Macaca fascicularis: one gene and its partners. The protein of the gene in region 5 interacts with the protein of the main gene of each other region in a biochemical or structural test. Links are inferred from orthologs where the notes say so. Each region holds a gene or a part of one and is shown on either strand. Other genes may lie near its edges.

Region 1 (3,500 bases), on a different chromosome or scaffold from region 5:
GAGACGACTTTTATTTCCGCCCCCTCCCCTCCACATTCCTGACCTCTCCCTCCCCCCCTTCCCTCTTTCTTTCCTTCCTTCCTCCTCTTCCAAGTTCTGGGATTTTTCAGCCTTGCTTGGTTTTGGCCAAAAGCACAAAAAAGGCGTTTTCGGAAGCGACCCGACCGTGCACAAGGGCCATTTGTTTGTTTTGGGACTCGGGGCAGGAAATCTTGCCCGGCCTGAGTCACGGCGGCTCCTTCAAGGAAACGTCAGTGCTCGCCGGTCGCTCTCGCCTGCCGTGCGCCCCGCCGCCCGCTGCCCGCTGCCCATGAGGGAGATGCAGGGCGCGCTGGCCAGGGCCCGGCTCGAGTCCCTGCTGCGGCCCCGCCACAAAAAGAGGGCCGAGGCGCAGAAAAGGAGCGAGTCCTTCCTGCTGAGCGGACTGGGTAAGCGCGGTCGCCGGCCCCGCTGGGGACTTGGCTCACTTCCCCAGAGCGGCTCGGCTCCTGCCCCGCTCGCGGGCTCGTCCGCAGGGGCAGGCTTTCGTCGGAGTTCTGGGAGCCGGGGTCCCGGCGGCGGGAACGGGAGGACCTGGCAGGCAAGGTCGCGCGCTTCGCCCTGCGCCCCAGAGATAAACCCCAGAGGGTGGCGCGCACCGCCGGCTTGGGCTGGGGAGGGAGGTGGGGGTCCGGCCGCAGGACGGCGCCAGGCCGGGGAAAGGGAATCTGCAGGGAGGGAGTGAGCGAAGCCACCGTGGCCGCCGCGCACCCGCCGGGAAGCGCCTCGGCGCTGCGACCCCGGCTTTCTCGGGCGGCGGAATAAATGAGAGGTGGAAAACTACCCTGGGCTCTCCGGCCCTCCCCGCGCCCTCCGCTGGCGCGTTCCCTCTCTTCTGCCTCGGGGGCCGATGGAGGCTGATAACGGCCCCGCGCCAGGCCCTCCCCGGACGGTCCTCGCGCCCCTGCCCGGGGCTCGCCCTCTCAATGGGGACAGAACCGCCCGCCACAGGCAGCACCGCTGCCAGCAAACCGCGAGGCGGTCCGGGCGGAGGGAGGGGCGAGGCGAAGGGCGGGGCCGCTTCTCATTGTCGCTCAGGCCCCGCCCCCGCGGCGGGGCCTCGCCTATAAGGCCGAGCGCGCGGCCCGGCGCGGCACACACCGAGCCGGTCTCCGAGCGCTAACGTCTTCCTGTCTCCCCGCGGTGGTGATGACGGTGAAAACCGAGGCAGCTAAGGGCACCCTCACTTACTCCAGGATGAGGGGCATGGTGGCAATTCTCATCGGTGAGTGCAGGAATCTGGCGGGACTTATGCTCCAGGAGACTCAAAGTGGAAATTTTTTGAAAGTCCGGCATCAGATTAGTGTATGTGGCTCCGGACGTTATGAAGCCGTCTAAACGTTTCTTTATTTCTCCTCCTTAATCCACAGCTTTCATGAAGCAAAGGAGGATGGGCCTGAACGACTTTATTCAGAAGATTGCCAATAACTCCTATGCATGCAAACAGTAAGTTTGACGGGATTTGAGGAAATAAGAATAACTAGTCTGGTTTGAATTTGCCAGCAGTAAACATTCTCATCACGGCGTTTATCGGGAAGGCGAAGACTTCTTCTGGGGTGGGAATCTCTTTTCTCCTTAAATTTTAATATATTAGACACATTTTAAACATTAAAGTTAATTTGCTGTTTTGGCTTGAACTGGAGATGTAAGATAAATGGTTCGTGTCGGCCGAATTCACTCCCTTTCTCCATGAGCAACAATCCTTATTTCTGTATTTAACGGGGTTTATTATTTTCTTTAACTGAGTAATATATTGGGGTATTTTCAGTTTAAACACCGAATTATCCGGGTAGAAGACGGTAGAGCCAGAAACTGACTTTTGATGTTGGTGTGCCCCCTAGTGGCGAGCTGGATTCTGAATCGTGCCCTTTATTCCCTGCAGCCCTGAAGTTCAGTCCATCTTGAAAATCTCCCAACCTCAGGAGCCTGAGCTTATGAATGCCAACCCTTCTCCTCCAGTAAGTATTTTCTATGTGCAGTGCCTCTGTGGAGAACTGTAAGGGAGTCAGTTAGTATTCCTGCCTTAATGGTTTAAAATAGCATTTCTAGAATTTAGTATCAAAGCAGGAATGCTTCATTACTTTATGGCATAACAAGTGATAACAAATATTTAAGTATTCAGTCAGTATTATTTTATTTTTTCGTGGGCGTATTTTACCTCCAAAGTGGATTATTTTAAAAGGCATATTTCATTAAAAAGTTTTATCTGTCCGAAACAACATGATTGTGTGCAGTTTCCATACTCATTTGAAATGACTTGTGATGAAATGTAGTTTTGAATGTTTATAGACAGATGTATGGTCATTTGCCTCAGTCATTTGTAGATGTAACATCTTCTACATCGTTTATATTATAACTGTCTTCCTTTGAAGCAATGATATTAAGAGAAATCCTTTTCTTTTTTTCCTAGCCAAGTCCTTCTCAGCAAATCAACCTTGGCCCATCGTCCAATCCTCATGCTAAACCATCTGACTTTCACTTCTTGAAAGTGATTGGGAAGGGCAGTTTTGGAAAGGTAATTTCGAATCTGAAGATCTTTTGGTACACTTTCTTCATGTCCTCATTTTACATTCTCCCTGGATAAGGATAGAAAAATGATTTTTTTTAAATTGAAATTTCAGGTTCTTCTAGCAAGACACAAGGCAGAAGAAGTATTCTATGCAGTCAAAGTTTTACAGAAGAAAGCAATCCTGAAAAAGAAAGAGGTATGAGATGTGCTTGATGAGGTTGGCATTGGAGGTAGACACTCCTTGAATAATCTTGATCTTGGAATTTTGGTGCCAAGTTGAAATATGCCACTAAATCTGAATTGTCATTTTCCTAGGAGAAGCATATTATGTCGGAGCGGAATGTTCTGCTGAAGAATGTGAAACACCCTTTCCTGGTGGGCCTTCACTTCTCTTTCCAGACTGCTGACAAATTGTACTTTGTCCTAGACTACATTAATGGTGGAGAGGTGAGCAGGGGGAATAGAAGACGTCAACTCTTAGTGTCTCTGCATAGCCTGCTTTGTTTTAGTTTGAGAAGAAAGTTTTCAAAGATACTTGGTGGGGAGAATGTTACCAGAATTAGCATTTCCTTCAACCTATCAGGTTTATAGTTAATAGATTACTTGGGGCTGCTTCCTGCAGTTGTTCTTTTGCTGTATATGTCAAAACTAATTAAGTTCATTTGCAACCCAGCCTGACTTTGTTCTGTCTCTCGCAGTTGTTCTACCATCTCCAGAGGGAACGCTGCTTCCTGGAACCACGGGCTCGTTTCTATGCTGCTGAAATAGCCAGTGCCTTGGGCTACCTGCACTCACTGAACATCGTTTATAGGTAAGCCTGAGAGCTCTTAAGGCTACCTGTTTGGGTATAAAGGAGACATAGCACTGGCTCTTTCACAGGGCCTTAAAATAATTTGTGTTTATGTGCAACTTGGTTGCCTAAAACCAGATCCCCTAGCACGTGACCTGGCTT
Region 2 (3,132 bases), on a different chromosome or scaffold from region 5:
CACTAACACAGTTCTAGTCTACCTTCAAGGCAGACAAAGATTTCTGTGTTCAACTGTGCCTCTGGCTGTATTTGCTGGCCACCTGCCATAGTAAGAATGGTAATACACACCACGAAAATTCAAGACCAGGATTAGAAGTAAAAAGTACACTAGCTACCACATCAAAGTTACCATCTAACAATACTGCCCAATGCTGAACAACATGTTCCATAAGATATTACCAGACGCATTTTGACTTAAGCATCATATTACCAAAATACAGCTCTATGTGTTTGAGACTAATGGGTTAAAATCCACTTTTGATTATTTACGGTCATTCTTTCAATAACAAAGGAAAAAATCTCTACACATTTAATAGGACTTTAAATGTTTTCAATTTAAGAATTGGTTTATTTGTGCTAGTCTTTAGTAATCTTCATAGACGCATTTTTATTTCATCAACAATCATCTCAGACACACCTTCTAACAAGACTGACGTAAAATATTACGACAGGAAACTATGCCTTCAGGAGCATGTTTATTGTGTTTGAGATGATACATCAGGTGCTCTCTGAGCTACAAAGGGTAAAAGGAAATCCTCTCATTACAAACTGACAAAGGTAAAAGGTAAAACATTTTTCACAACAGCATGAACCACATACTCAGAAATAGATCTGGGTTTAATACAAATGACATAATTCCTAGTCATCTACAGCTACTTTTATAACTTCATACAGATAATGAATTAGGCTAAAATGCACTATAATATTTGGTAGACTTCAGGACCAGTATCCTTAGTACATCACAAAATACATTTTGATATCCCAAAGAAGCAAGACTTGCAAGTAGGCGTTTTAAACATAACTAATCTACAGCTACAAAGTTCTACTCTTGATAGCATTTACCTTTTTGGGGAGTCTCCCAGGCTCCAAAGGATAAAAGCAGAGTAGAATCAGTATAACATATACACAGAAGTCCGTATTGTAAAGGCTATAAAGATTTGCAGCACAGTGAGAAGATGCCTTCTGCTCCTTCACACTGCATACAAATTATGTGAATTATGTTGCGTATCTCTTGGTCCACTGTCTGGCTATCCTGTCGTGTTCTGCTCTGTTGGTCAAATACTGAGTGGCTATGCTTCCAACCAGAGGATCCGCTGGAAAAGTGGAAAGAACATTAAAAGCTATTTTGTGGTATCTTCTTCAAGGTATAGTTCTAATATTCTATTAAAATGAAATGCTTACTTTTCCGCAGTATCTTCATATATAATAGCTAGATTTTCAAAAGAAAAAATTTAAAGTAACATGATCATATGTGTATTTTAATATTCAAGTTAGGAAAGCCCCCTTCAGCAAAACAACAACAACAACAACAACAACAACAAATTTTGAGCTATATACAAAAATAGTTAGATTTGACTTTTATGAAAGACACAGGTCTTTAATATACAAAAAACTATTTTATAATTTTGGCCTTTCATTCAACAATGGAAGTATACTAGGAGGTTATATTTCTGCTTATGAATAGTTCAAAAATGGCAAGTTTTAAGTAAAACCCCAGTCTTACGATACCATGCTATTTCAAATACAATGCTTCCTTCATTCTGTGCCTGATATGACTCTAATCACTATCTATATTTCCACTTGAAACCTTACTTGCCATTTTGTTTTAAGTAGAATTCTGAACTAGAGAGTGAACCTGATATAAATTTTTATCATAATGTTTAAAAAGAAAAAAATATGTACATATGGTACAATATTTGAACTGTACCAAACCATAGCCAGTAAAAAAAACTCTCTTCCTTCCTGACTCCAACTACTCAGAAGTTTCTTTCCCCGGCAAACAACTGTTACCCATTTACAACATTACTTTCCAGAGTTCTTAGATGCACTGACAAGCATTTAGAATATTATGTTGTATATATGTATTTTTTCCAGTGCCTTTTATACTTAATATATCTCGAAGATATTTCCCTATGAGTTCATATAGAGTCATATAAACATTCTTTTAAAAAGTTACATCAATTAATGGACATTGAGGTTGTTTCCAATACTCTAATAAATGATACCACAATGAATATCCATCTGTCTCTATCTATTGTATATGTATCTCGGCCAAGCACAAGGTAACAACAGTAACAGTTTTCAGTGACTTATCAAATATTTAGAAAAAGTAAGTCAACTTAAAAAAAAAATCACATAGCAAAACAAAATGTGTGAAATTTCAGGTCTAAACATCATTTTATCAAGTCAGCTACTCAAGTTTCTGAAGTTCACATGTGGCAGGCATTTTTTAAAGTTATGAATTACACACAAATGATTTTATCTCTGAGTTTATATAATCATAATCTAGTTCAATTCTCATTGGCTATCATTTTAATATTCATTACTACTACACCTAATATAACTAATTAATTCAAAAAGGAAGGGAGAACAAGAAGCCCTCTATTATTAAAGTAGCTGCTTAAAAGCCTATCGCAGAATGGAAGGAGCAGGAAAAGGAGGCACTGGTTTCAGAGACATTGGTTTACTCTTGGTAGAAGTAGTCTGTGCACCTAAACAGTTTTAAAAGTAAAGATTCCATTAGTGATGGTGACAAAATAATTATAGAGTGGTATGCCATTAACAAATTAAATGAAGGTATTGAGAAACTTCTGGCCTAGTCTACTTCAAATGGCACTGGTAATTTCCTTACAAACTATTTTACGGAGATCTTCCTATCAATAACATTTACCTCTCAATCTACATTTAAAGCTAACTAAAAAAAAAAAAAAAAAAAACGCACTGGTTTTTGTGTTAATAAAGATTTGCTTACCAGGGTTGCAGTCCGTCAAAAGGGAACAAATAGACAGCAAAACTTTTGAAATAGTCAAAGCGGGACTCCAGTTGTCTTTAAGGATGTCCAGACAGATGACTCCCTGACTGTTGATGTTGCAGTGATAAATTCTGGTGCGGAAAGTAACCTAAGCACAGTCACATTAAAAACAGAAGGAAAATGAATGCTATATTACCAACTAAAACACTAGAAAAAGATGAAGGGTAATATATCATAGAAGATACTAAATTATCTGACTGGAGCTAACCTTAGATTAGGTTTAATAACAGAATTAAATGGTTTTGACTCAGTTGAAATCTTTATTTTTACCCTGTATAG
Region 3 (4,119 bases), on a different chromosome or scaffold from region 5:
CATGCCTGAGGGTTTTTTGTTTTTTTTTTTTGGTATTTTTTGTATTTTTAGTAGAGACGGGTTTCACTATATTAGCCAGGCTGGTCTCGAACTCCTGACCTTGTGATTTTGCCGCCTTGGCCTCCCAAAGTGTTGGGATTACAGGCGTGAGCCACTGCACCTGGGCTTTTTTTTTTTTTTTTTTTTTTTTTTTTTTTTGAGACAGAGTCTCGCTCTGTCGTCCAGGCTGGAGTATGGTGGCACAATCTCAGCTCACCATGGTCTCTGCCTCCCGGGTTCAAGTGACCCTCGTGCCTCAGCCTCCTGAGTAGCTGGTATTACAGGTGCACCCTACCACGCCCAGTTAATGTTTTGTATTGTTAGTAGAGACAGGGTTTTACCATGTTGGCCAGGCTGGTCTTGAACCCCTGACCTCAAGTGATCCAACTGCCTCGGCCTCCCAAAGTGCTGGGATTACAGGCATGAGCCACCACTGCCCAGCCAAGACTATATACTCTTATTTCCCAGTGAATACATTATTGACAGTTTTTGAAAATACTGACTGTAGCCCCAAAAAGCTTAACTGGTTGGAGATACAGGGCAGACAAAGGATAGATAAAAATGGTAGGGGCAAAGAGTAAATGCTATGGGATTCTAAGGGTATCTGTATGAGTGAGATTCCTTTTTGTTGTTGTTTTGTTTTTGAGAAGGAGTCTCGGCTCTGTCACCCAGCCTGGAGTGCAGTGGCTTGATCTTGCTCACTGCAACCTTCGCCTCCCAGGTTCAACCAATGCCTCAGCCTCCGGAATGGCTGGAATCCCGGGATTACAGGCATGCGCCACCCTGCCCAGCTAATTTTTTTTTTTTTTTTTTTTTTTTTTTTGAGACAGAGTCTCGCTCTGTTGCTCAGGCTGGAGTGCAGTGGTGCGCAATCTCAGCTCACTGCAGGCTCCGCCTTCCGGGTTCACGCCATTCTCCTGCCTCAGCCTCCCGAGTAGCTGGGACTACAGGCACCCGCCACCAGGCCCGGCTAATTTGTTGTATTTTTTTAGTAGAGATGGGGTTTCACCATGTTGGCCAGGATGGTCTCGGTCTCCTGACCTCGTGATCAGCCTGCTTTGGCCTCCCAAAGTGCTGAGATTACAGGTGTGAGCCACCGCGCCCGGGCACTACACCCTGCTAATTTTTGTAGTTTTAATAGAGGCAGGGTTTCACTATATTGGCCAGGCTGGTCTCAAACTCCTGACCTCAGATGATCTGCCTGCCTCGGCCTCCCAAAGTGCTGGGCTTACATGGTGAGCCACCATGCCTGGCATGCCTGGACTTTTTTTTTTTTTTTTTTTTTTTTTTTTCAGATGGAATCTCGCTCTGTCACCCTGGCTGGAGTCCAGTTGCATGATCCAAGCTCTCTGCAGCCTCCGCCTCCCAGGTTAAGTGGTTCTCCTGCCTCAGCCTCCCAAGTAGCTGGGACTACAGGCGCACCCCACCATGCCCAACTAATTTTTTATATTGTTAGTAGAGACAGGGTTTTATGATGTCGGCCAGGCTGGTCTCAAACTCCTGACCTCAAGTGATCCACCTGCCTCGCTCTTCCAAAGTGATGAGATTACAAGTGTGAGCCACCATGCCCAGCCAAGACTATGTACTCTTATTTCCCAGTGAATACATTATTGATAGTTACTGAACATGTTGACCACAGCCCCAAAAGGCTTACTGGTTGGAGATACAGGACAGACAAAGGATAGATAAAAATGGGAGGGGCAAAGAGTAAATGCTATGGGATTCTGAGGGTATTTGAATGAGGGAGGTTCTTTTTTGTTTTTGTTTTGTTTTGAGTCAGAGTCTCTGTCGCCCAGCCTGGAGTACAGTGGCTTGATCTTGGCTCACTGCAACCTCCACCTCCTGGCTTCAAGTGATTCTCAGGCCTCAGCCTCCGGAATGGCTGGAATCACAGGCATGCGCCACCACACCTGGCTAATTTTTTGTATTTTTAGTAGAGACTGGATTTCACCATGTGGCCAGGCTGGTCTCACACTCCTGACCTCAAGTGATCTGGCTGTCTTGGCCTCCCAAAGTGCTGGGCTTACACGCATGAGCCACCCGACCTGGAGTTTTTTTGTTTTGTTTTGTTTGAGATGGAAACTCACTCTCACCCAGGCTGGAGTGCGGTGGCGTGATTTTGGCTCACTGCAGCTTCTGCTTCCCAGGTCAGGTAGTTCTACTGCTTGACCCAGTAGCTGGGATTATAGGCACGTGCCACCACACCCAGCTAATTTTCCTATTTTTAGTAGAGATGGGGTTTCTAGCCAGGCTGGTCTCGAACTCCTGACCTCAGGTGATCCGCCTGCCTTGGCTTCTGAAAGTGCTGGGATTACAGGCGTGAGCCATCGTGCCCGGGCTGTATGACTGTATGAGGGGGGTTCTTGAGCTAGGTGCTTTTTGTTGTTGTTGTTGTTGTTGAGACGGGGTCTCCCTCATTCGCCCAGGAGCACAGTCATAGCTCACTGCAGCCTTGACCTCCTGGGTTCTAGCAAGCCTTCCACCTCAGCCTCCCAAGTAGCTGGGTCTACAGGTACGTGCTGCCACACCCAGCTAGTTTTTACTTTTTGTAGAGATGGGGTCTCACTATGTTGCCCAGGCTGGTCTTGAACTCCTGGCTTCACACAGTCCTTCTGCCTCAGCTTCCCAACGTTCTGGGATTATAGGCATGAGCCACCTCACCCAGCCTTCTTGAGCTGAGGAAAGTTAAGACTGACCTCAAATTTCAGGAGACAGTCCCAAAGGAATTGTGGTAATATTGCGATTCTTTTTTTTTTCCCCCCCGAGACAGAGTTTTGCTCTTGTTGCCCAGGCTGGAGTGCAATGGCGCAATCTCGGCTCATTGCAACCTCTGTCTCCTGGGTTCAAGCGATTCTCCTGCCTCAGCCTCCTGAGTAGCTGGGATTACAGGCATGCACCACCAAGCTCAGCTAATTTTGTATTTTTAGTAGAGACCGAGTTTCTCCATGGTGGTCGATCAGGCTGTTCTTGAACTCCCGAACTCAGATGATCTGCCAGCGTTGGCCTCCCAAAGTGTTGGGATTGCAGGTGTGAGCCACCACGCCTGGCTGAAATTCTTAAGTAAATAAACTTTTCTCTAGGCACATGAATTGGAACTATGGAACAAAGAGATTATTGATGCACTTATTCAAGAAACACATTTACATATGTAGAACAGAAAGGTTGCACAGCTCTTATATACTCAAACATAGTTGTAGAGTTAGATCATGTTCTTAACTTTCTTCATAGTTACCTTTTGGGGAGGAAAACCACCCTTTTTCATATTAAAGTAAAACGTGTACATAATAAAGTGTGACTGGCATCCAAATCAAGAAACAGACCCTTCCCAGTACCATAGGAATCCTCCTTCCTTTCTAGTTACTTTCCTGACTTCTAATAACAGATTAGTTTTGAGTATGTTTGAGTAAAAGAACAGATGTGAGTATATGTTACGTATTTTAAGTTGGAAAGTTTTCAAAAGATGCTGTTCAAAATCTGTTAAGAAAAATATAGTGTCTTAGAAAATGTACTAAAATGTATTGAATTTCAGTGCTGAAATAGATCTAGGCCAAACTCCTCATCTATAAAATCAGGAAACTGAGGCCCAAGGAGGTTGATTGTTCCTCAGAGAAACAGCTGGTTAATGGTTGAACCCAGGCTTTTTGCATACCAGTTTAGTCATAATAAGTAGTTGGTTTGTGGGAATATCCTTTTCATAAACGATAGTGTAAAAGCTGACTGCTAATACAACTTTACAGAAGGAGATAACAATGCAGTATTATTTAAATGTGTCTTTTCTTTTCCCCCTCTTAGTATGAGAACTTAAACTTGCCAAGGAGGTAGAGATTTTTAACTCCTGAAGCATAATTTAGTGAAGTTAGCTTAGTAATTAAGAGCATGGGCTTTATAATTAGATTTGCTTTGAGTCCTGGCTTTTCTTCTTAAAACCTGAAGTACTGGCTCTGTATCTCGATTATCTTTATCTGTAAAAACTGTGGGAAGATTAAGAGTGTCTTTACAGTGCTTAGAATAACCTTGGGACATAATTAAACAGATAGCTGTTAGATGTCAGAAGTAGCTATGTTTTCATATTCTGTTGTG
Region 4 (4,145 bases), on a different chromosome or scaffold from region 5:
GTCAATCTCGCAAAGAGTTTTTGGGTTTTTTTGTATCTTGCTATTTTAACCAGTTGATTAGGCTCACCCAGTGGCAGTCTTCATTTCAAGGATGTCCTCTGGACATTCATGAAGGAAATAAAGTAAATGGGGCTCCAGATCCCTTTCCTTCCCTTCAGGGGGCTCCACTGTAAGATCATTTTGGGAAAATGTGGTGTTATCTTAAAAACATAGCTGGGCCACATCAAGCAGCACCATAGTTTTGAGGGTATAGAACGTTGGTCTTCAGGTTAAAAGGCACTTTTCACTGCTCTGTCATACTCTTCTACTTGCTAGAGAAATATGTTTTATGCCGTGTCATGTGTGGTTACAGACACTGAGATGCTATTAACAATGCTCCCAAGTGATTCCTTGCTGTTAAATCCATTGGAATTATTATTACCACAAAATAATCCTATCTGATTTCATTACTTTCTTCTAACGTCCTTCCAGTAACCTAGAACTCTAGAGACCTCTTCCTTTGAGAGCTGTCTGGAGAGTCTGTTGGATTTTTAAATCTCTTATTACCAAAAAGTGGAAAAAAATTTAAAAAGTAACCAAAGAGCTGGTGCCTGTAGTCTCAGCTACTCCAGAGGCTGAGGCAGGTGGATAGCTTGGGCTGAGGAGTTCGAGGCTGCAGTGAGCCATGATTGTGCCTGAGAACAGCCACTGCACTCGTCTGGGCAATATAGTGAGACCCCGTCTCTAATCATCCCACAGAAGAATTTCAGGGCAGTGGATAACTCTGTAGGATACTACAATGATGAATACCTGCCATTACACATTTGTCGTAACTCGAGGAGTATACAACAACCTGAGCGAACCCCAAGGTAACTATAGACTTTCAGTGATGATGATGTGTCAATTCGGGTTCATCAATTGTAACACATGTACCACTCTAGTGGGGGATGTTGATAATGGCGGGGTTGGGGGTGGGGTTATGCATGCGTAGGAGCAAAGTGTATACGGGATATCTCTGTAACTTCTCAATTTTGCTGTAAACTACAACTACTCTATATTAGTCTTTTAAAAATCCCTTATCTTACGAATGATTTTTGAATAAGCGTTTTAGCAATGTTCTAGAGATGAATCTCCTCCCCACGTCCTACGCTGGGTGAGTAATACGAGGAAGTGTCGGGTACCCGGGAGACCTGTCCTCAGGTGTTCCAGGAACGCGGCCCCATACCTTTGTCAGCCTCTGTCTCTGTGTGGTGAGAAGGCGCACTGGCTCGTGCCTGCGCGAGACTCGCGCACATAGAAAAGACCAATCAAGGACGGGTCATTCCCGCCCCCCGCGCGCCTTCTGCGACCGCCCACTCGACAGGTTGACAACCTAGACAGCTCCCCCGGACTTGCCTTACTTTTCCATCTCCTCCCACCTAGCTACACCCTCCCACTGGCGGCGCGGATGGGACGCCGGCGGAGCCAGCGAGTCTGCGCGAGCGGCCCGAGCATGCTCAATAGTGCGCGCGGCGCCCCGGTGCTCCTCCGCGGAACCGCGACCAACGCGGAGGTCTCGGCGGCCGCTGCGGGAGGCACAGGAAGTGAAGAGCTTCCGCCGGGAGACCGCGGCGGCAGGAACGGAGGCGGAAGGGGCCCTGCGGCGACGACGTCGTCGACGGGGGTGGCCGAGGGAGCTGAGCACGGAGAGAACTCCCCCGCTCGGAAGCCGGATCCCGAGCCGGGCAGGATGGATCACCACCAGCCGGGGACGGGGCGCTACCAGGTGGTGAGTTCCCGGCCTCCTGTGCTTCCCGGGACTGCCTCCCGCCGGGGCGTCCCGAGAGTCCCTTTCCTCAGGTTATTCCCAGAGGAAACGCTGTGGCTTTTGTTTTGTTTTCTTTTGGATCTTCTGACTGGAGCTGCTTCACTCGCCTCTCCTGCGCACTCCTGCCTAGGACTGCTTCGAAACCCTTCCCTGTCGCCCCAAGTCTCCTCCTAGCTCCTCACCCGTACCCTTAGCCCCCTTTGAGACACCTCCCTCCGCACACCTTACAACTTGTATCTGTTTTAATTTCTCACTTTATCATTTTCTTATTCTCTGACTCAGTCACTTCTGAGACATTCTAGTCGATTGTCTACTGGAAGTGGGGCTGACTTCACATACCTGCCCGGAAGGTGATCGCCGTCATAAATGGGGTGGGTGGGTGGGTAGGTGGGTGAAGGTGTAAGTACTGTGTAGAGTGGGATTTGGCAAAAATGTGGGTTAGGAATTGTGGAACCGAAGAGAAAGACTAGCCATAGTGCTGATCTTGTCTGCTCGTTAACCTTGTCATTTTTGTCCTTTTCCATTATGTTAGTATTAAAAATGACTGTATTTTTTGTAATCCCCAGTTTTTTGTTTTTTTTTTTTGTTTGTTTGGCTAGAGGGGAAACAGAGGTAGTTTTAGTAGAACAAATTCTAATCTTGTTCGAAAAATTATTTTTCGTTAAATACAAGGTTTTCCAGCTTAACTGTGTAAACTTTGGTAACTGTATGTTGAAAAAAGTGAAATATGTTCCTCTGTATTTTCAGTGTCAATTTTTAAATATATTTTTCTTTGTGTATTCTGGTGGTGACGTTGAAGATTCCTGTTGTAAACCTTAGTTAAAAATGGACTGAGCAATAGTTGACTGTGCTGTTGTGCTGTTGCAGCTAGGTAGCATGTCATTCTACAAACTTTCAGCCCATTTACTGAGGGAGACGAGATAAATAATACATAGCAGTGGTGGTGCAATTTATGGTTTATAAAATTTTACAAATTTAGGTATGTTAACCCCAGGTTTCAACTTTCAAATCTATCTGCACATGTCAGACTTAGTTATAAGCCAAGACTTTCTATTAATAAGTACATTTTGGCAATATGAAGGACACTGTAAGATGAGATCCCAATGTATGTAATTTTGCATTTTTCTAAGATAAAAGCTCACGAGGCTTCTATTTTCAACTGGTTTGCATTCTTTAAAACCTACAAAAGGTCCGTGTTCCGAATTCTTTGAAAATGTAGCAGCTTTTCTCAACAACTTGGGAAATACTGTTTCTCCTAGTATGGAAAGCATTTTTCAAGTGTACACCCTTTTGATGGTTTGAAGGGCATTTCTAGGTTTGTAAATGTTAGCAAAAATAAAATGATACAAATACTGAATAATATCAGCAGTGGAACTTGTTTCATTTTTCTAATCTTCCTGTTAGATTAGAAACATTAACCATGTTCTCCTACACACGTCACTACTTAAAACACTGTTAATTTATGTAGCTCTCAGTTTTAAGATATTTGTTTTCCCTACAGCTCCTTTCAAAATAAATGGACATATTTTATTGCTGCCCCCTCCCCTCATTTTTTTCAAACTGATGATGTGTCCCACATAGACTTTGAAGTTCCTTGAGAGCAGAGGGCAAAAATCAGTTCTTCTAAAGATAATGCCTACCAGTCCCTCTAAAGATAATACTTTAAGTAAGTAGGACATCGATTTGTTTTCCTTGTAAGGCAACAGTGTTAGGGTTACACAACTTACATAGTCATTTAACCTATCCAGTATAACTCTTGGTTTTGTTTATAATGGCCTGATTAATAACATCTAAGTGTATGTCAGAGAAAAAGCTGAATTGACATTTTCCGTAGACTTTTTAAACTAGAGATCAGTATTCAGCTCTGGCTTATATGATGAACATAACTATTTTGTGGTTGCCTTTAGCTCAGTTTTTGGGAAAACTGGAATGTGTAATAAACTGGAGCAATAAACAGCTTGAGTTGTCGAATGTTAAGGGATGACTAAGTCAGGAGATAGGCAAGTATACTTAGGGGTGAGATGGTATACAATGTTAATTTTTCACTTATTTAAAGAATTTAAATACAACTTTTCATACTGGAAAGCTAGTAGTGATGCTCAGGGTCATCAGAACGACCTACTACCATTAGCCAGTGCACAAGCTTTATCTAGAAACTGCTTTTTCTGTGATCTTTCCTTTCATTGTTAAAAGCACCCAAAATTTATTAAGTAAAGCAGTTAACAGTTTAGAGCTACAAAAATTCTTGATTGTTACCCTTCTAATTTCAGAAAAAGCCAGGTATGGTACATAATTTTCTGGGAAATTCAGTTTTGTTCGTTAGTAAATGAGCAGTGTTGCTAACTATGATAAAGTTGAC
Region 5 (3,500 bases):
TGTTTTTCAGCGTTTCTCCATCCACACTGCATTTCTTAGACTGTTTCTCAGGGATCTTCTAGTGATCAAATGTGGACTGTCTAAATACAGTCACTCTATGTTGGACAGGTCTCTAAATCCAAAGACTGCCAAGCTGTGTTCGCCTTCAAAGAAACACACTTCTATCAGCGGACTTGGGTGCACACAGCCTCGGGTGTGAGGCTGGGTGCTGGGAGACTTCCTGAGCTGGGGCACACAGATGTCCTGGGTGGTACTCCAGATTATATGCTACTGTGTGACCGTCAGCATCCTAGAGAAGGGGCTGTGTGTTGGGATTTTAAAATTTTGCCCCAAAAGGTACAGTGTAAGGGTCCTAAGCTGATGGAGAAATTTAGGACTAAGCTAGAAGAGCACCCCATGGGAGCTACATCGAGGAGAAACTCAGAGCATCCCTCTCATACACAGTGACACTGGGCAGTTTGAAATACCTTTAAGCTCTACCCGGTTTGGCAGTGGAATTTAGTAGCCAGAACAGATGATAATGTTTTTCCCTTCCCCTATGATCACCTTAGCAGCAACCCTTTACATTTAAGACTACGGGGGTGTTAGAACCAAGTTCTGTAAGAATTTGGATCTGCAACTGTGTGGGGTTCATTCCACAGTAGATTTGAAGCTATTGGAAATCTATTGCTGTTTTCCAGACACTTGGAAGTATTTTCTATGTAAATAGAACTAATTAACTTTGTCTAGAGAAAATAATTATCTGGGTGTACATTATTTTATTAAACTGATCAGAAATCAAATGCAAGGTATTAAATAATAATGATTTCTTGCACAAACAGCCATCAGTGGCCTATGTACATACCACGCCGGGTCTGCCTTCAGGCTGGGAAGAAAGAAAAGATGCTAAGGGGCGCACATACTATGTCAATCATAACAATCGAACCACAACTTGGACTCGACCTATCATGCAGGTACGAAGATCGCCATCCAACTTAAAACCGCAGGCCATAGAAGCCGAAATGTACATGACCGACCTCCCTCCCTGGTGTTTATATATTGTTCTGAAAGAGTCATATTTGTAAAAAGCTTTCTCACAAAGAAAATGCATTACTTTAAATACAATAATAGCCTAAGGAAGAATTTGCTTTCCAAATCAGTTTATCACTGAATACATTTTTAAAATGTGAAGTGAAAGATATTTTCAAAGTAAGAGCCTATTACAGTGTGTAGCTTCTTCCCTGCCCCACCCCCCACCCCCTGCCTTTAATCTGAGGCTAGTTTTTATGCTGGGCTAGTGATTCATTTTTATTTCCCTTGAATGTGTTTCCCCATCCTTTCCCCCATCATTATGTTTAATTATTTCCTCCACGCTTTAAATAGGCCAGACCTCTTATTATTGCTGTTTGCGTTGTTGTTTGGGTTCGCGCTCCTAATCACACACACAGGGAGATCCTCCTATGAAGCTAACTTGTTTTTGCCTCCAAAATAGCTTGCAGAAGATGGTGCGTCTGGATCAGCCACAAACAGTAACAACCATCTAATCGAGCCTCAGATCCGCCGGCCTCGTAGCCTCAGCTCGCCAACAGTAACTTTATCTGCCCCGCTGGAGGTGAGACGGCTACCTCATCTAACTGGACTCACTCTGTCCTGTGACTCCCATTCTTTCTTCTCTCTTAACTCTGCCTTCAGTTTGGCAGCCACCTCCTCTCTCTGATCAGTCGTTGTGTTGGTGGTGAAGGAGGTTCTTGTGCAGCCTTTCTACCTGCTTCTCTGTCTCGCCCAGTTAACATTCCTGGACTCTCTCACCTGATTCTCATTCTCATTTGGCTAAGGCCGCAGTGACTTGTGCTGGACGTGGGCACTCTCTTTTCAGGACTTCCACCGTTCTTGTTGTGTTTCGCTTCTTTTTGCCTGTTACCTCATTAGAATTGCATAATCTGTCTTTCAAATACCAAGTGCTGATATTGAGTTTTTAAACATAGCTATTGCTTTGATCATTTTTTTTCTTTCGACTGTAGGGTCTTTCATTCTATGGGCATACATGTTTCTGATGCATATTTGCATATCTGCATCGTGGCTGGGCATCTGCTTGTGCTCTCTGTCGTGTTTGTATTGTTTTGGTGCCATCCTTTAACATCACAAATGTCAGAGTTAGAGAAGCCAAAGAGCAAAGGTTTGAGGTCCTAAGCTTGACTGTGTCTTAGAGACAACTGTAGGCTTCTCCATGCCCTGGGTCCAGATGCCAATAAGTGGGAATGGATGCTGTCTCTTCCACACACTGATATGAATGTCATGGGCAACAACTGTGAGATTCCAGATCATTGTCTTTATTGATGTAGGTTTTTCTCTTCTGTGCTCTAAAACTTGCCAATCTATTCTTCATTAGACTGTGAGCTCATTAAGAGCAAGGGCACGTTTTTCTCTACTCTGTAAAATCTCCATCCATAATGCTTAGTACAGAACAGTATTTTTGGTACATACTGAGTAGCTACCAAAGGATGGTGATTATAAGTACTTAATATTGTTGTGTGTTTATCCAACAGAGGAAATGTAAAGTTAGATTGATTTAAAAGTAAATGAATGACAGAAAACAGGTTTTGGGAATCTTCCCTCTTGCCCGCCTCCAAAGAGAAGCCTCCTACAATACCCAGGTACATTTTGGCACATTGGAATCGCAGCTGCTGAAGAGTTCTAATGCTAATTGTTATTCTTTAGGGTGCCAAGGACTCACCCGTACGTCGGGCTGTGAAAGACACCCTTTCCAACCCACAGTCCCCACAGCCATCACCTTACAACTCCCCCAAACCACAACACAAAGTCACACAGAGCTTCTTGCCACCCGGCTGGGAAATGAGGATAGCGCCAAACGGCCGGCCCTTCTTCATTGATCATAACACAAAGACCACAACCTGGGTAAGGCTGCTGCTTTTATTTGGCTCCGTTTTCATCGTGAAGTCTGGCATTAATTCCTTGATTTCCTTACTCAGTGTTTGTAGTTCTTGCAGAGGAATTAGATTGACTGTAAAGGGTGTTTCCAGAGGGTCTCCTCAGCCTGCATCTGGCCCTTGCACAAATGGGTGGGTGGGAGTGGGTGGGCACAGGCTGATAGCTGTCTTTGGTACTAGTGCTGGGACTGCCTTTTCTCCTGGGAAACTCTAGTTTAGACAGTTCACCATGCTGGATGGAAAGGTACTGTTCTGTGCTGTTAAGATTTTGTTAATTGATCCCATCTTACAAAATAAGGAGTTATAATCATTTTCAAAGAGGAGTTATAATCATTTTCAAATAATTTTTTCTTTTGTCAGTTTCTTTTTGCACTTTTATTGGCATTACCCACCTTCTTTTGATTTGTCACTTTAGTTTTTACTGTTCACATCAGATCAGTATTCACACGTCTGAGCTACATTTCCGTGCCCTTAATCATGGGATAGGGGATGTATGGAGTGACTTTGGTTGTAAATCTGATACTCCTTTTTGTGATCATTTTGTCAAAATTGATTTTTCTTACCATGCAACTG
Region 6 (4,137 bases), on a different chromosome or scaffold from region 5:
GGAGAACTGATCTTCTTTAAGGTGATCCTGATAGTTCCCAAAGGTGTTTAAAGGCATTTCCTGGAAAAAAGGGGAGCGAGAGAAAAAGGAATAGAGAGAGAGAATTTTTGATGATTTTTTTTTTTTTTAGTGGGGACTGCTGAGTTAAACTAAGTTAACCACATTGTCTCAGAGCCTTGAATGTGCTAATATGTGCTAAAGTGTCTCATGGATCTCTAAGGAGGATGTAGTCAAAATCATCTTTTACACTGCTTCGTTCCCTGGAGCCCACTTTTTTTTTTTTTAATCACAGCCACTTAAGGCACCACAAAACACACCTCTGGCAGTGCTGCTTCAGGGAATTCCCAGTGTAGGGTTAATGTTCATTTTCTCTACCTCTTCTAAAATTCCTCCTTCTTCAAATGCCTATTAATAACTTTATGTCCATTGTGTCAGTTCTCAATGCATGTTGCTTATAAGCAAGATTTTTATTATTAAAGTGAGATGGGATAAAAATAAAATTTTGTTTGCAATGAGACGACATTTTATTTTAATTCTCACCATTTATATACAAACACAAGTTAATAAAACACATCACAAAACGGTAAAATTTCATAGTTAGTATTTATAGGTGCATAGTTTCATGCTCACATATTTTTAAGTATTATATATATTAACAAATTTCACAATACATCATTATTCTTAGACAGTATCATTAAAAGACACCTAAAAATCTTATAATATACGATAGCAAATCACTAACAACTTCTGAACAACAGCAACAAAAAAATAGTGAGGATTTAGAAATAAGTGGTAGTCACTTAGGTGTTTTTAAATTGTTTTAACATCATAGATTGAAGCCACAAAATCCACAGCACACAAAGACCCTGCTACCATGTATTCACTTCAGTGAAAGGGAAGCACCGAAATGCTGAATGGGGGCAGGTACAGATACTTCAATCACTGCTGATGGAAGACTTCAAAATACACTGTAAAAACTTTGAGAAATGTCATGACTGGGCACATTGGAACTGAGCACTTGTACAAGATGGAACGTCTGTCAGCAGATCTCAAGAAACTGGGAGCAAAGATATTTCTTAGGCTTCAGGTTCGTAGTCTTGATACCCTTCCTAATATTAGAAAAATAAAAAAGACAGCACGCACTGTTAGTGTAAGTTTCAATCATGCATCAGCACTGACAGCCAATGAGATAGGAAATGGCTCATCACTTACATTAAAATTTACACTCAATGTTTTTGCAAATATTCTGCAATATACATTATCTTATTTTTAATAGTTGTGTATTTCCTGTCCGATATAGATGTGAATTGTGGTAGTAATCAGTTAAAATATCTAGGTTCTAATCCAGATGTACCATTTAATGATCATATACCTAGTCAGGTAGGACAAATAAGTTGGACTGGCTGATTCTCAGTTTCTTCACCTGTAAAATGTGAGAATAAAATCAAGCGGTCTATAAAGCCTTTTCCAGGGCTAAGACGCTCTAATTCTCAGAAGGAAATTAAGACGTTTGAAGGCGAGGTACATTTTCCCTACTTTCGCTCTCCCACTTGAAAATTTCATCTTCATCTATGGCTTCAATTATTAGTTGTATTTCAGACCCCAAGCTCTCCATACAATATCTGGAAAGCATCCACAATACAAATATTAATGATGTAATTAAAGGGGTCAGATTATTCCTCCTAAAGAGCAACTTTAATAATATCAGGATTCTGCTTAAAAACAAACAAATAAGCATATCTTCAATAACTGAAGTTGTTTTCTGAATAGAACACAAACTTAAATGACAAGATTGTCCTAATACTCTATAATTTGTCTTTGACCCATAGCTGCAGGTTCAATCTATCACCATTTTCCTTGTTCCTAAGCTTGAGTCATAATTATTTACTGTTCTCAGACATATCCATTTGCATTCTCAGACACATATGCCTTTGCTTCTGATATTCCCTTGTGCCAGAACGTCCTCTGTTTGTTTTGCCCTACCATATCTCTTTCCTTTTCCCACCCAGATCAACATTACCTCCTCAATAAAACTACTCCTGATTGATTGAAACAGATCCTTTAAAATGTTATACTTTTTAGTATATCTTGTATATCTTTGCTCCTGTGATGCCTGGTACATAGAAGGCAATCAATAATGTTTGTTAAAGGAAGGAATCATAATGAAGAAATGAATGAATGAATTTCTATTTTTTTCATCAAACCTACCAGACTGTAAACTCCTTATATCCTGGTAATGTCAATTACACTATAGTTTTCTATAGTGTTTGGTACTGTGTCTTGCATAAAAGACCCCAAAATATTGGAAATTCTTATTAGGCAAACAATTTAATCTCAATTTCTATAAATTGAATTATTATTAATATGCTGTGTGTGTGTGTGTGTGTGTGTGTGTGTGTGTGAGTGACAGTCTTGCCCTGTTGCCTAGATTGGAGTTCAGGGGTGCCATCTCAGCTCACTGCAACCTCTGCCTCCTGGGTTCAAGCAACTCTTGTGCCTCAGCCTCCCAAGTAGCTGGAACTATAAGCATGTTCCACCATGCCTGGCTAATTTTTGTATTTTTAGTAGAGATGGGGTTTCACCATGTTGGCCAGACTGGTCTTGAACTCCTGGCCTCAAGTAACCTGGCCACTTTGGCTCACAAAGTGCTGGGATTACAGGTGTGAGCCGCTGCACCCATCCTTGATATGCCTTTTAATAATGCCATGAGGAATAATACATAACCTAACCACAACATATTTGAACTCAATTTTTAATGGAACCATCATACAGTTTCTTTTCTTGTGATATCTTTGTTTGGTTTTGATTATCAGGGTAATATTGGTCTCACGGAATTAGTTGGGAAATGTCTAAATGACTCCTATGTTGTGTAAGAGATATTAATTGGTGTTAACTAATTAGTATTAGTTCTTCCTTAAATGTTTGGTAGAACTTACCAGTGATGCTGTCTCGGCCTGGGATTTTCTTTGCATGCAGGTGTTTTTTTTGTTTTTTTTTTTTTTTTTTTTTTTTTTTTTTTTTTTTACTAATTTAATCATTTAATCACTTCACTGTGTTACAAATCTATACAAATCTATTCAGATTTACTATTTCTTCTTGGGTCAGTTTTTTTCATCTAACAGTATTTTCTAATTTCCCTTTTGATACATTTTCTATTAAAATACTTTTGTTTTCAATAAAAATAAAATTAACAATCATACGTTGTTTAAAATGTTATACTGGAATATATCAATTGTTGCAAATCATACATTTATCTTTTCATTCTATAACTTGTGTGGGTAACTTTTATTTTACTATGCAATCATCCCACTGGAAATGTATGGCAAAAAATAATTACCTTCCTTTGGCATTCCGTTGATTTCCCTAACTTTCCATTTAGAAACTTATTTTAGAATGTATAGTTTCTAAAAATATATTCTCTAATGCAGGAGTTAGTAAACTTTTCCTGTAAAGGGTCAAGTAGTATTTTAAGCTATGTGGACTTAGAATTTGTGTTACATCCTCTCTTCCTCCTCCTCCTCTTTTTTTTTGGACCCTTTAAAAATGTAAAAACCATTCCTAGCTTGAAAGTTGTCCACGTAATGAGCATGTAGAGAGCAAATGATTCTCACTAAGCAAGAGAAATATGACAATGACAGGTTGTTGGTACTGTTAGAAAGATTCAGCTTGGACTCCTACCTCAGAAGGCATTTCATAAGCCTCATTGTCAGGATCCACAGGCATATCTTGTAGAATTCCTTCCTGTGGGGCTCCTTCTTCATTCTAATATTTAAAGTGAGAAGCACAAAAAGAACATGATGAAGTAGCATTTTTCACTTTTAAAAATCAGAACCATGTTTTGGAAAAATCTTACATATAGGGATGTTGGCCAGGGATGTTGAAAACGGCACACTTTAATATAAGTACTGGCATTCTAAACTCTGCAATGCCTTTGGGGAAACATTGCGGCAACATGGGTTACCAGCCCTCAAAGTATGTAAAGTTTTTGCTCAAGTAATTCACTATTTAGGAAATAATCCACAGCTATAGTCCAAAAATATTCTTCACAAGATCAATGACAGCAGGAAACAACATTTTTACAATTGTTAACTAAATGTTCAATGAATAATGAAGAGTTAAAAATTATTGCTGGGTGCT

Evidence for each region.
Region 1: of the proteins of NEDD4L (region 5) and SGK1, one has a biochemical effect on the other in vitro, tested with the Homo sapiens proteins (5 studies listed by BioGRID). The link is inferred for Macaca fascicularis from reciprocal best matches to the Homo sapiens genes NEDD4L and SGK1.
Region 2: the proteins of NEDD4L (region 5) and UBE2E3 form a complex in vitro, tested with the Homo sapiens proteins (3 studies listed by BioGRID). The link is inferred for Macaca fascicularis from reciprocal best matches to the Homo sapiens genes NEDD4L and UBE2E3.
Region 3: the proteins of NEDD4L (region 5) and UBE2K form a complex in vitro, tested with the Homo sapiens proteins (2 studies listed by BioGRID). The link is inferred for Macaca fascicularis from reciprocal best matches to the Homo sapiens genes NEDD4L and UBE2K.
Region 4: of the proteins of NEDD4L (region 5) and NDFIP2, one has a biochemical effect on the other in vitro, tested with the Homo sapiens proteins (2 studies listed by BioGRID, with this or other methods). The link is inferred for Macaca fascicularis from reciprocal best matches to the Homo sapiens genes NEDD4L and NDFIP2.
Region 6: of the proteins of NEDD4L (region 5) and SNCA, one has a biochemical effect on the other in vitro, tested with the Homo sapiens proteins (3 studies listed by BioGRID). The link is inferred for Macaca fascicularis from reciprocal best matches to the Homo sapiens genes NEDD4L and SNCA.

Annotation. Positions count from the first base shown.
Region 1 is NC_088378.1:38,175,195-38,178,694, reverse strand, and holds part of SGK1 (serine/threonine-protein kinase Sgk1), read left to right. Parts: intron 1-250; exon of another isoform or gene 251-310; coding exon of another isoform or gene 311-428; intron 429-1,134; exon of another isoform or gene 1,135-1,188; coding exon of another isoform or gene 1,189-1,264; intron 1,265-1,409; coding exon 1,410-1,485; intron 1,486-1,921; coding exon 1,922-1,997; intron 1,998-2,449; coding exon 2,450-2,554; intron 2,555-2,660; coding exon 2,661-2,744; intron 2,745-2,863; coding exon 2,864-2,995; intron 2,996-3,246; coding exon 3,247-3,359; intron 3,360-3,500. UniProt on the Homo sapiens protein: Serine/threonine-protein kinase which is involved in the regulation of a wide variety of ion channels, membrane transporters, cellular enzymes, transcription factors, neuronal excitability, cell growth, proliferation, survival, migration and apoptosis.
Region 2 is NC_088386.1:76,567,738-76,570,869, reverse strand, and holds the end of UBE2E3 (ubiquitin-conjugating enzyme E2 E3), read right to left. Parts: intron 2,942-3,132; coding exon 2,794-2,941; intron 1,136-2,793; coding exon 1,038-1,135; 3' UTR 501-1,037; downstream 1-500. UniProt on the Homo sapiens protein: Accepts ubiquitin from the E1 complex and catalyzes its covalent attachment to other proteins. In vitro catalyzes 'Lys-11'- and 'Lys-48'-, as well as 'Lys-63'-linked polyubiquitination.
Region 3 is NC_088379.1:38,999,305-39,003,423, forward strand, and holds the start of UBE2K (ubiquitin-conjugating enzyme E2 K), read left to right. Parts: upstream 1-1,319; 5' UTR 1,320-1,334; coding exon 1,335-1,408; intron 1,409-4,119. UniProt on the Homo sapiens protein: Accepts ubiquitin from the E1 complex and catalyzes its covalent attachment to other proteins. In vitro, in the presence or in the absence of BRCA1-BARD1 E3 ubiquitin-protein ligase complex, catalyzes the synthesis of 'Lys-48'-linked polyubiquitin chains.
Region 4 is NC_088391.1:70,542,602-70,546,746, forward strand, and holds the start of NDFIP2 (NEDD4 family-interacting protein 2), read left to right. Parts: upstream 1-1,345; 5' UTR 1,346-1,426; coding exon 1,427-1,747; intron 1,748-4,145. UniProt on the Homo sapiens protein: Activates HECT domain-containing E3 ubiquitin-protein ligases, including ITCH, NEDD4, NEDD4L, SMURF2, WWP1 and WWP2, and consequently modulates the stability of their targets. As a result, may control many cellular processes.
Region 5 is NC_088392.1:22,631,293-22,634,792, reverse strand, and holds part of NEDD4L (E3 ubiquitin-protein ligase NEDD4-like), read left to right. Parts: intron 1-821; coding exon 822-953; intron 954-1,471; coding exon 1,472-1,591; intron 1,592-2,697; coding exon 2,698-2,895; intron 2,896-3,500. UniProt on the Homo sapiens protein: E3 ubiquitin-protein ligase that mediates the polyubiquitination of lysine and cysteine residues on target proteins and is thereby implicated in the regulation of various signaling pathways including autophagy, innate immunity or DNA repair.
Region 6 is NC_088379.1:95,268,981-95,273,117, forward strand, and holds the end of SNCA (alpha-synuclein), read right to left. Parts: intron 3,763-4,137; coding exon 3,679-3,762; intron 1,112-3,678; exon of another isoform or gene 1,110-1,111; coding exon 1,077-1,109; 3' UTR 501-1,076; downstream 1-500. UniProt on the Homo sapiens protein: Neuronal protein that plays several roles in synaptic activity such as regulation of synaptic vesicle trafficking and subsequent neurotransmitter release.